2 linked regions of the Yarrowia lipolytica genome follow. The protein of the gene in region 1 interacts with the protein of each later gene in a pairwise test. Links are inferred from orthologs where the notes say so. Each region holds a gene or a part of one and is shown on either strand. Other genes may lie near its edges.

Region 1 (5,231 bases):
ACCGCAAACGGCAGCAGGTATTTGCGCGGAGATTCTGGAGATGGCCGTATATTTTAGATGGTTGGAGGATCTGCCGATCACGTGACTCACTCAGTCATTTGTTGACAGAACGACTACTGTGCACATGTACACTCTCGTACAGTATGTCCAGTGCACTCTATCTCAATGCCACAATTGAACGTCGATCTGGCGGGTCTGGCGAGTAATTAACAGGTACGCTACCAGTAAGCGAAAAGCGGAAGCAAGCCTAACGGTACAGTAATGAAGAAAGTGCAACTGGATATACGGTAAACCTCACCTGATCCGGAAACCACACCGATTGGCACCTACGGTGGCCTGGTACCTACTTCAGTGACAGTCAGTTGCAGTTGAGGATGCAGTTGGCCCTGCACTGGGGGGTTCGCTTATTTCTTGGCAAGAATAATTTAAGAAATAATGAGAAGGCTGAGTATTGTCACTGGTGACACCTGAGAGGTTTATTAGTAATTAACAGGGTCACACGAGCTCTTAATTACGAAACCAATTAGTCGCTCACAATATGGCTGTCTCGGAAGGCCTGAAAATTATGAAACCAAGAAAAATCCACCTCCACGGTCCTATCTGACGCATGAGTTGATATCCAATTGTCCAATACCATACACGACTTTGCGGGGCTTTTGGATCTAATCTCCTCCACCACCCACCCTGAAGTGCTCTCTACTATCTAATTACTCAATATGATCGACAAGAGTGGCCCACGTGGAGTGTGCCTGATCTGCAGTTATTGAACCCTGAGACGGTGGGGTCCGGAGCAAAGCAAACTATCCCGCGCAGTGGCGGAGCGTTTACAGTTGGGCTAGAGATACTTTGGTACCGGATCTCGGAGGCCCCCAACTTCCTGCTTCCTATTCCCGCCAGCTTATCGTACCCCACCTCTGCTCAGCCCACCTAGTTCCGATGCAAGGACGACGATCTATGCACCAAAGTTCCATCGGGCTACAAGAACAAGCAAGACAAATTAAAAAAGACAAAGAAACGGGTGGGGTCAACGGTACGGGAGTGGGGAACACAAACGGGTGGGTCTACGTCGGAGCGTTGTGACATCATGCTTCACGCCAAATCCCCTGCAAGACAACAGCCTTCTGTGACAGACATGCGGCGGGATTACTGTAACACTTAGTTGCGGGTACTGTAGGAAAGCCAAGTATCCGAATCCGTACTTGTCGCCTTGGCCATATATCATTATAGTCCAATTCCTATGCACAAAGCTCTCTCTCTGTCTACAATTCACACACAAAATCACAGTATTGTACAGGTATACAACCTTCTTCATTATCTACATATCGTCGTTCGACGGGACTCCTCTCACTCAAGGTGAGGGTCTCACAGTGTGAAACGGATTTGACTAGGTCAAGTACAAGAGTCTGGCGGTGCTGGGCTTTGCATGTCTCTGTCTGTGGCTGTGTCTGTGTGCGCAGTGCAATGAAGTGCATCTTCATCGCCTCTACTCACCCTTCTGCTGTCCAGCCCAGATCTCCTCGGCCTCGACAATACACCGGTTGTTTGCCATCATCTTGTTGATAGTCTCGACATATTCGTCGTACTCGTCAGAATCGAAGACAATGCCTCCTCCGGCCTGCAGGTACGCAACACCGTCCTTGAGAAGCATAGTTCGAAGAGCAATGCAAGTGTCCATGGCCTCTCCGTTGTAGCCGAAAGATCCAACGGCACCGGCGTAGACACCTCGCTTCTCCTTCTCAAGCTCTCCAACCAGCTCCATGGCCTTGACCTTGGGGGCACCAGAAACGGTTCCGGCAGGGAAAATGGATCGGAAGGCGTCGAATCGGGTCTGGTCGGGTCGCAGAACACCAGACACCTGGGAAACGAGATGCTGGACGTGCGAGAAGGTTTCGACACCCAAAAGCCGATCGACGGAAGTGGATCGAGGATCACATACTCGGTTGACATCGTTTCGGGCCAAATCGACCAGCATGACGTGCTCAGCTCGGTCCTTCTCAGAGTTGAGAAGCTCCTGAGCCAGCTGGTTATCCTCGGCAGGAGTAGCTCCCCGCTTAACCGTTCCAGCAATGGGATGAGACACAATTCGGCCGTTCTCAATCTTGACGAGCAGCTCAGGAGAAGCACCAACAAGCTGGAAATCAAGATAGTCAATGTAGAACAGGTAGGGAGAGGGGTTGACGGTTCGCAGGTGTCTGTAGACGTTGAAGGGATGCAGGTCGGTGGGCCGAGCTACTCGCTGGGAGGGCACGGCCTGGATGATGTCTCCCTTCTTGATTCGCTCCTTAAGAGTGGTCACGTGCTGTTCGTAACCCTTCTGGCCAATGTTGGAAGTGAAAGTCTTTCCAAGGGTCACGGGTCCCTGGGGGGGCTGGGGAACCTCAGGGGAAGTCAGCAGGTCTGCGATTCGCTGCACCTCCTTCTTGGCGTCCTCGTAGGCCTTGGTGAGATCGGTGTCGGCCTCAACCTTGACATTGGTGATAACCTGGAGTCGCTGGTAGACGTGGTCAAAGGCCACAATGGTGTCGTAGAGCATGAGGGCACTTTCGGGGACCTCCAGGACGTCCTTGAGATCTCGCTTGGTTCGGGGCTCGAAGTACTTGATGCAGTCGTACGAAATGTATCCGATGGCTCCTCCACAAAGAGTGGGGACGCCGGGGGTCTGGAACTGTCGGTACTGGTCGAGTTCAGACTCCAGCAGGTTGAGCGGATCAACGTCAGGTCCATGGGGAGCACCAGTCTTGATCATCTTCCGGGGATTAGATCCAATGAAAGAGTAACGGGACAGATGCTTACCACCGAGGGCAGACTCGAACAGGAACGAGGGACTTCGGTTGGGGTCATCCAGACGAGCCAACTTGAGGTAGGCAGTATGAGGAGTCAGGGCCTCAGCATCCACATAGGCGAAAACGGGATAGAGGTTGTCGGGAAGAGTCTCCTTGGTGGCGGCGGCTCGGTTGTCGGCCACGATGGTCTGAAGAGCCTCTAGAGTGGGTCTGAGTTGGATCATTGTGGAGTAAGTGAAGCCGTTGAGCTGTCGGTGTTACAACGCACGTTTTACTGGTACCGGATGACTCTATGTCGAGGAAAGTTTCATACACACAAATTTCAAATAGGGTTATGGTATGAATCACTAAGCTACTGGTAAGGGGACTGCGGCTATACACTGTTAGTGGAGAGCTAAGGTAGAGGCGTTAGTGGCGCTAGTGGGGGCTCCGTGGGGGGGACTTTGTTGTGTGTGTGAGCTGTTGGTGAGATTCTCCATGATGTCTACTGCTCTGTCTTTTCATTGCAGATGTGGGGTTATGCAAGCGTGGTCACTGGGTGTACTGAAATTGTGTTGATGTAGCATTGTATTGGGGAATTTGCAATACTAGTAGTATCGTCAGTACAAGTGTGTTATGAACTACTATTGGGTAGTCTGGTAACAGTATGTACTGTTGCCCGAAAAAAAACCCTTGGGTTACCCAGTGGTTGTTCATTGTGGTCATGTAATCGTTATTGGGCTGTATTCACCTCTCGTTCGACCTTGCCACATCAGCTCTTCTCCTTTGTATCTTGTAGATGTCATTTTCTCCTCTAAAAAGACAAAAAGTCCAACTAAAACTCTTGGTTTTCTAGTTGGGACAGCTGCATAAAATATGCACTCTGGTTGTGTCACACCAAACATTTATTTACACCACTTTAATCAACCCATCCACTACTCTGCCATCACCCACCCAACAATGGACGCAGCGTCGGTACTCGACCAATACGTCCAGGACCTGGCGAACCTGCCGTCCGAGGTCGCACACATCCTCGAAGAGGTCCGAGACAAGGATCTCAAGTTCTATGAGACCCGCAAGCGCATCCAACAACGCGACAACCAGATTCACAAATTCATCAGAGCAAATGGCTCCCTGGCAGAAAACCCAAAGGAGCAGGCGGCATACCCCAAAATACGCCAGGACTTCCAGACCGCCATGGAGCTTCAGGACGAGAAATGCACTCTGGCAGCACAGGCGCTGACCCTAGTGGCAAAACACGTCAAGAAACTGAATGACGACATCGACAAGCTGGATGCCGAGGGTCTGTTGGGTGGCGCGCCACCACAGAAACCTATTTCAGCCAACAGATCGCGTGCCACGTCATCAGCCACTCCTGCACCGGAACCCCCATCCCGAAACTACACAAGAGACAGAGCCAACAGTCGAAGAGGCGGTTCTCCAGCGGCCAGTCGGTCTTCTACTCCTGGAACACGACCGCCAAAGAAGCGAGCGACTGACAAGAATAACGAGGCTGCATCTATGAGCAAGGAGTCGTCTGTGGGTGCCTCTGAGCAGCTCCGAAACATGCCTGAGACGGTGGCGGTGGGATCTCTGGATGCTGCTATTCGAGCCGGACCTGGGGAAGATGACGAGGTGCTCTACTGTTTCTGTCAGCAGCCGTCATTCGGAGAAATGGTTGCTTGTGATAACGATGACTGTCAGTACGAATGGTTCCATTACGACTGTGTGGGTCTGGCAGAGCCTCCCCAGGGAGTCTGGTTCTGTCCTTCATGCTCCAAGGGACGAAAGGGTGATAAGAAGAAGCGTTAACAGATACAATTCTGGAGTTTGAAACCAGCTTCCCACTGTTCTTCAACGCCTTCTACTGATCTTCCTGAAGCCGAGCCGCAGGGCGCAATTTCCATGTCACGTGCCCCCAAATCACGTGCCCCCAAAAATCGCGTGCGTCGCAGGCTGTATTCCAGGCGTCATGAACGCTGCGATTGAGCACTGTTTCCGGGGCTTGTTTAGTATAATCATAAAGGGAAGGACATGTTGATCGTTTTTGTATGAGCCCCAACAGCGCCCTTACGATGAGATCCTTCCCAAACTTGTAGTAATATATTATTTATTTGTCTCTATGGAGCGGCAACTGTATCAGCTCTTTTCCTCGCCAAAATACTTTTATCTCGCTGTGGTTTCGATTCTCAAGACATCGTCACCCGCCTCGTCCAAGTGTTATCATGGACGTCTTCGACGATCGCTTAACAGTGGTGTTCGGCTCTCGGCATGTCCGAAGAGGAAAGACTGCCCTGGAAATGCGTACAAGATGCGAGGTGACTCCACAAGAGGAAGTCACAGGGTGGAGGGACATAAACAGTGTGGAGCGGCTATACGAGGAATACGAAGAGGCGCGCGCGTCATCGTACTGGCGGGGTGTCTTGTGAGGGTTAAATTTGGTGTCGAAAACAAAACCTCCTTTAGAGA
Region 2 (5,339 bases), on another chromosome or scaffold:
TCCCTACGGGGGTCGATACGTTCCTGGTGGAGAAGTGAGCGGCCCTACGCCTTCTGTTTCTGCTTCTGCAGCAGCAGCTGCCCCCTCTATCGAACCCGCTCCTTTCCCACTAACAACTCCTCTTTTCATCAACACATACAACGCTGCGGCTCTCAGCAAGGGTCTGGACAAGTTTAACTCGTCCGAAGCCGCCCCTTTGGCTGATGACGAGCTTTCTGCACTCAAACTTGCGCTTTCCAAGAACGAACTGGGCTCCTCCCTGCTTTCAGTGGTGCTCAAGATTGTTTCTAGCTGGTCTGAGCCTCTTTTGGGACTGGATATTCTGCGCCTCATGGCTGAGAAGCTGGGCGCTCCAAAGCCTGAGATTGTCACAGCCGTTGAGGGCGCTGTTGCATCACCCAAGCTGGCCCACAAACTCATGGGGGTTCGGTTTGTGGTCAACAGCGTGGCTGCCAAAAATACATTCCCCGACGTTGAGTCGGTCATTGATACCGTTAAAGGGACTCTGGCTGACTACAAGTCGGAAAAGCTGTTTGGCCAATATGAGACTGCTGTTGCCACACTGCTGCTGGATCTCGCTGTGAACGCATACGACGGTGGCAACGTGGAGGCTGCCTTTGGTCTTCTGCAGAGCATCAGTGAGGTGTGGGAGAAGGTGACTGGCAACGAGGCCGTCTTCCGACTGGCCGTGGCTGCGGGCACGCTGTTTTCTCTCAAGAGCGAGGAGGTTGCCAGCTGTTATGATCTGTTCAACTATGCTTCTCTGGTGGCTCGTCCCTATGATGAGCTTCGGCTCAAGAAGGTCATGGTTAATCTCACCAAGTAATATAGCTGACATAGAAAGATGAATGAATATACGACTGAATGAAGCGACACATGTAGGATGTTTGAATTGTAGCAACCAGAGGAAATATACCACAAGTATGTGATTTTTCTACTAAATCCCCCATATTAATCATTCTCACCTCTATGCTCACTTCAGGGTAACTCACGTTACGCGTCACGTCGCATGCAAGGTTGGGTGTTAATTACCTGAGGCCAGTGTTTCTTTCATCAACATCACACATTTCAAAAACACAGCCATGAGTTTCCCCACAACCCCACGAATCAACAGCGGTCTTCTCGGCGACTTCTATGGAAAGACGGTGCGAATCATCGGCAAGGTCGAGTCTCAGGACGGCGAGATCGTCAACCTGGATGCCAACGGGCCCGTCAAGGTCAAGTCTGACGGCTCCGATTACGTGGTTGGCCACTTCTACGAGGTTGTTGGCAAGGTGGAGGGAAGCGATCAGATTGTTGGTCTGACCGCCACCGATTTCGGAGAGAACATCAGTGAGTAGGAGTGACGGAACGACGGACTAACGGAATGACGCAGTAACGGAGACACCAATCTTGCCACTAACAGATACTAACTACAGACCCCGAGCAGGTGAAAAAGCTGGTTGGATACTGCCAGAAGTTTCCCTCTGTTTTCGGTGAGGCATAGATGCATGAAAAGGGCTATGTTATCTTACTGGAGGTGGCGAAAAACCTGTGGAGGATATTCGCTTTACGACGTCCACAGAATAGAGGACATGCTACAAGTAGTAGGACAAGGGGTTGGCGCCAGGCCAGGTGTTTGGTGGAAGTATATATTAATAAATATTGTTTGATTTGGAGGAGGCGAAAAAGCACGAACACGGACACCGTTTGTCGTGGGTTCTTGTGGATTCGACCGTAGTATGGTCATCTTAGGGCATGCAAATAAGGCCACAAGAACCGACTCAACCGCAGCCAGCACTGATCCTCATCCCATTGTTGGTTGATGCCCGCTCACGAGCATCGCCCATTCACTCCCGTCACTTGAGCAACTCATTGGCGGCATCGTTGACATTGTCGAGCTTGGCGAGAGTTTCGACGAGGCTATCCCCAATGACAGTCGAAATAAGCGCCTCGTCGTCCTTCTGGGCGCCGCACTGGGCCACAATCTTGGTCTTATCGTCGCTGGTCCCACAGTAAGCGATGATTCGGTTGACATGGCCGATCTTGAGGTTGCGGGCGAGTCGGTCAGATGTGGCGAAGGAGCCAGCCAGACGGGAGCCCTGGGACACAGCTTCGTCCGTCTCCGGTTGCGAAACGATATTTTCAGCCGTGATTGTGCAGATGTGTGATGACATGGTGCTGTATGGGGTATGGTGGAGTTCAAGGCTCTTCCAAGATGTCCTGTTCTGTGAGGGTGCTGTGAAGATAAGAGTTCGACTTTGGGTGTTGGGAGATTGAATTTACTGGAGAAGTTGTACGATACAACGGACTCCTGAGATGATGGTTGGTGTGAACCAAGTACAACTACCAGACTTGCGTCTCACGTGTTGGTAGGACTAATGCTGGATTTCATTACTAAGCAACACCTGTGCCTCTCGCCAATATCCTTCTATACTCTTCTCAAATCTCCTCCAACCAATAACCGTAACTCCATCATATGCACTCATGAAGAAGTTCGCCGTTGTAGCATGCGTGGTGTTACAAGAGGTGAATGGGATGGATGGTGCAGACACGATAAGATATAAATAGAGCGGTGAGCTGAAAAATACAGCCCCAAATAACCCCTAGCAGCCTTTTTCCCTGCTCCCGAACAGCTACAAGCATTCTTTTTCACTGCTCTTACTTGGATTGTACAGTAGTATCAGCACCACCACCCACACCTTCAAACTCTAAAGTCGAGTCACAGTGTTTGACTTTGAAATTCTCCAGAAGACGGCTCAGTCACCACCCCCGAACTACACCACCATGGCTTCCAAGACCAAAGTTCTTCTGATCGACAACTACGACTCCTTCACCTGGAACATCTACGAGTACCTGTGCCAGGAGGGAGCCGACGTGGAGGTTTTTCGAAACGACAAGATCACCGTGGAGGAGATCGAGGCTAAGAACCCCGACATCATCTTCATTTCCCCGGGCCCAGGACACCCCAAGACCGATGCTGGAGTGTCTATCGATACCATTCATTATTTCAAGGGCAAGAAGCCCATTGTTGGAGTCTGTATGGGCCAGCAGTGCATGTACGAGGCCTTTGGGGGCACTGTGGGCTTTGCTGGAGAGATTGTCCATGGTAAGTCTTCTCCCGTCAAGCATGACGGCAAGGGCCTGTTTGACAACATTGCCCAGGATGTGGAGGTGACTCGATATCACTCTCTTGCCGGTACTCGAGAGTCTCTGCCCGAGTGTCTGGAGATCACTGCTGAGACCCACAATGGAGTTATCATGGGAGTGCGACACAAGGAGTATGTCATTGAGGGAGTGCAGTTCCACCCCGAGGGCATTCTGACAGATGACGGCCGAACCATGATCTCCAACGTGCTCAAGTTTCGAGGAGGAACCTGGGCCGATAAGAAGTCTTCCGAGGATAAGACCCCTGCCCAGACCTCTATTCTGCAGCGAATCTACGCCCAGCGAAAGGCCGACGTCGACGCCCAGAAAAAGATCCCCGGCCAGTCGTTTGAGGATCTGCAGAAGTCGCTGCCCTACGCTCCCAAGCTCATCGATGTCAAGCAGCGTCTTCTCCAGAAGACTCCTGCCATGATGGCCGAGATCAAGCGAGCTTCTCCCTCCAAGGGCCCTATCGATCTGCAGGCTCATGCTCCCACCCAGGCTCTCATCTACGCCAACGCTGGCGCTTCTGCCATCTCTGTCCTCACTGAGCCTCACTGGTTCAAGGGCTCGCTGGAAGACATGCGCCTGGTTCGTCTGGCCGTGGACTCTCTGGAGAACCGACCTGCCATTCTGCGAAAGGAGTTCATCTTCGACCGGTACCAGATTCTTGAGGCCCGACTCAATGGAGCCGACACCGTGCTGCTCATTGTCAAGATGCTGGACGACGAGCTGCTGGCAGACCTCTACAAGTACTCCAAGTCTCTGGGCATGGAGCCGTTGGTGGAGGTTGCTTCTCTGCCCGAGATGGAGCGTGCAAACAGGCTCAACGCTCAGCTCATTGGTGTTAACAACCGAGACCTGCATTCGTTCAACGTGGACCTCAACACCACTTCTTCAGTCATGAGCCTAGCCTCGGAGGATATTGTGATTGCTGCGCTCAGTGGCATCACGTGCAAGGCCGACGTGGAAAAGTACGTTTCCGAGGGTGTCAAGGCTGTTCTTGTCGGCGAGGCTCTCATGCGAGCCAAGGACACTTCGGCTTTTGTCAAGGAGCTCATTGGTTAGTTGGAGAGTGTGAGCTCTCGTTCCGTACACCTCTACAGACCCCATCGAACCGCGTTCGACAGTACTGAGTCCGGTCCTTGGACCAGAATCATGCGCTTGTTGCGCCACAAAAATCTTAGCCAGAGTATAGATGATGAGATGTTTCCAGAAGACCATGTCATAACATGTCTTTTGATGTCATTGAAAGAGACATTGAAAGACTACAAGTAGAGATATTTTATCAGTGCACATTCCTACGTCAACAATAGATGATACAAGAGTAAATTTCTTGTAAATTCCGCATTTTCCATCATTCTTACAGTGTATTATGCTGACGGTGGCTGCTACATAATTTCAGCTGTAGATAATAATATGAGCTCACACGCCAAAGTGACACATTTTTTCCTACACTGTATAATTAACTGGACGAGGGCCCTGTCTATTATTGAGACGAGCCGTATGATTATTATTTCTCGTACAAGGCAAAGACACATATCCGAGAGGCAGTGCAAGTCTGAACCTGATGCCCTGGCATGTTCTATTTCCAGTCTGTTCCTGGCCTGTTCTAATTTTGTCCGCTGTCTCCATTCGATACTACAAGTTCAACGTGGACTTGCGTCCCTACATGTAGCGACGTGTTCACGTGTCTGTGGAATGATAGCTGCGTAGTGACGTTGATCCATTTTTCTTTTTCCGTTGCCGTGATACTTTACAGGGGTAGATGGAGGTTGTACCTTGAGGAGTATCGTTTCTTTTGGCTATGGCCATCTTCGTGCTTGTTCGAGGAACGGGGTATATTAGGCGTGAAACAAGGTGGTTATCGACAACAGTTGCAATGGACACTGTAAATCACCATTATTAAGAGTACGAATACAAATCGGTACTGGTATGGCGTCGGCACATCAACGGCCAGTAATTCTGGACAATGTTTCACTTGTGCGGTCTCCAAAGCTCACCTGTTTTCCACAGCTTCCAATGCATTCTGCAGCGACCGCAGCGTACATCGGAAGCATTCCTACTCGCACTTGTACACCGTGTGGAAAACGGGCCGTTCGGGCGACTCAGGGGTCTGCGACGGCTGCTCTTGAGAGCATTCTGGGTGCCTGTCATCGCGTCTGAGTTGGGCTCTTTCTCTGAGCTAATCGACATGTGCTGTTTGCACGTTG

The links. The genes of interacting proteins can lie anywhere in the genome.
Region 2: the proteins of YALI1_E17754g (region 1) and YALI1_D13963g interact in binary tests that used the Saccharomyces cerevisiae proteins (3 or more experiments, as listed by UniProt). The link is inferred for Yarrowia lipolytica from reciprocal best matches to the Saccharomyces cerevisiae genes TRP2 and TRP3.

Annotation. Positions count from the first base shown.
Region 1 is NC_090774.1:1,772,411-1,777,641, forward strand, and holds YALI1_E17754g (uncharacterized protein), read right to left. Parts: upstream 3,008-5,231; coding exon 1,484-3,007; downstream 1-1,483. Other genes in the region: YALI1_E17760g (uncharacterized protein), read left to right, coding at 3,639-4,574; YALI1_E17773g (uncharacterized protein), read left to right, coding at 4,885-5,231.
Region 2 is NC_090773.1:1,393,769-1,399,107, reverse strand, and holds YALI1_D13963g (uncharacterized protein), read left to right. Parts: upstream 1-2,766; coding exon 2,767-4,194; downstream 4,195-5,339. Other genes in the region: YALI1_D14004g (uncharacterized protein), read left to right, coding at 1-826; YALI1_D13976g (uncharacterized protein), read left to right, coding at 1,083-1,332, 1,419-1,486.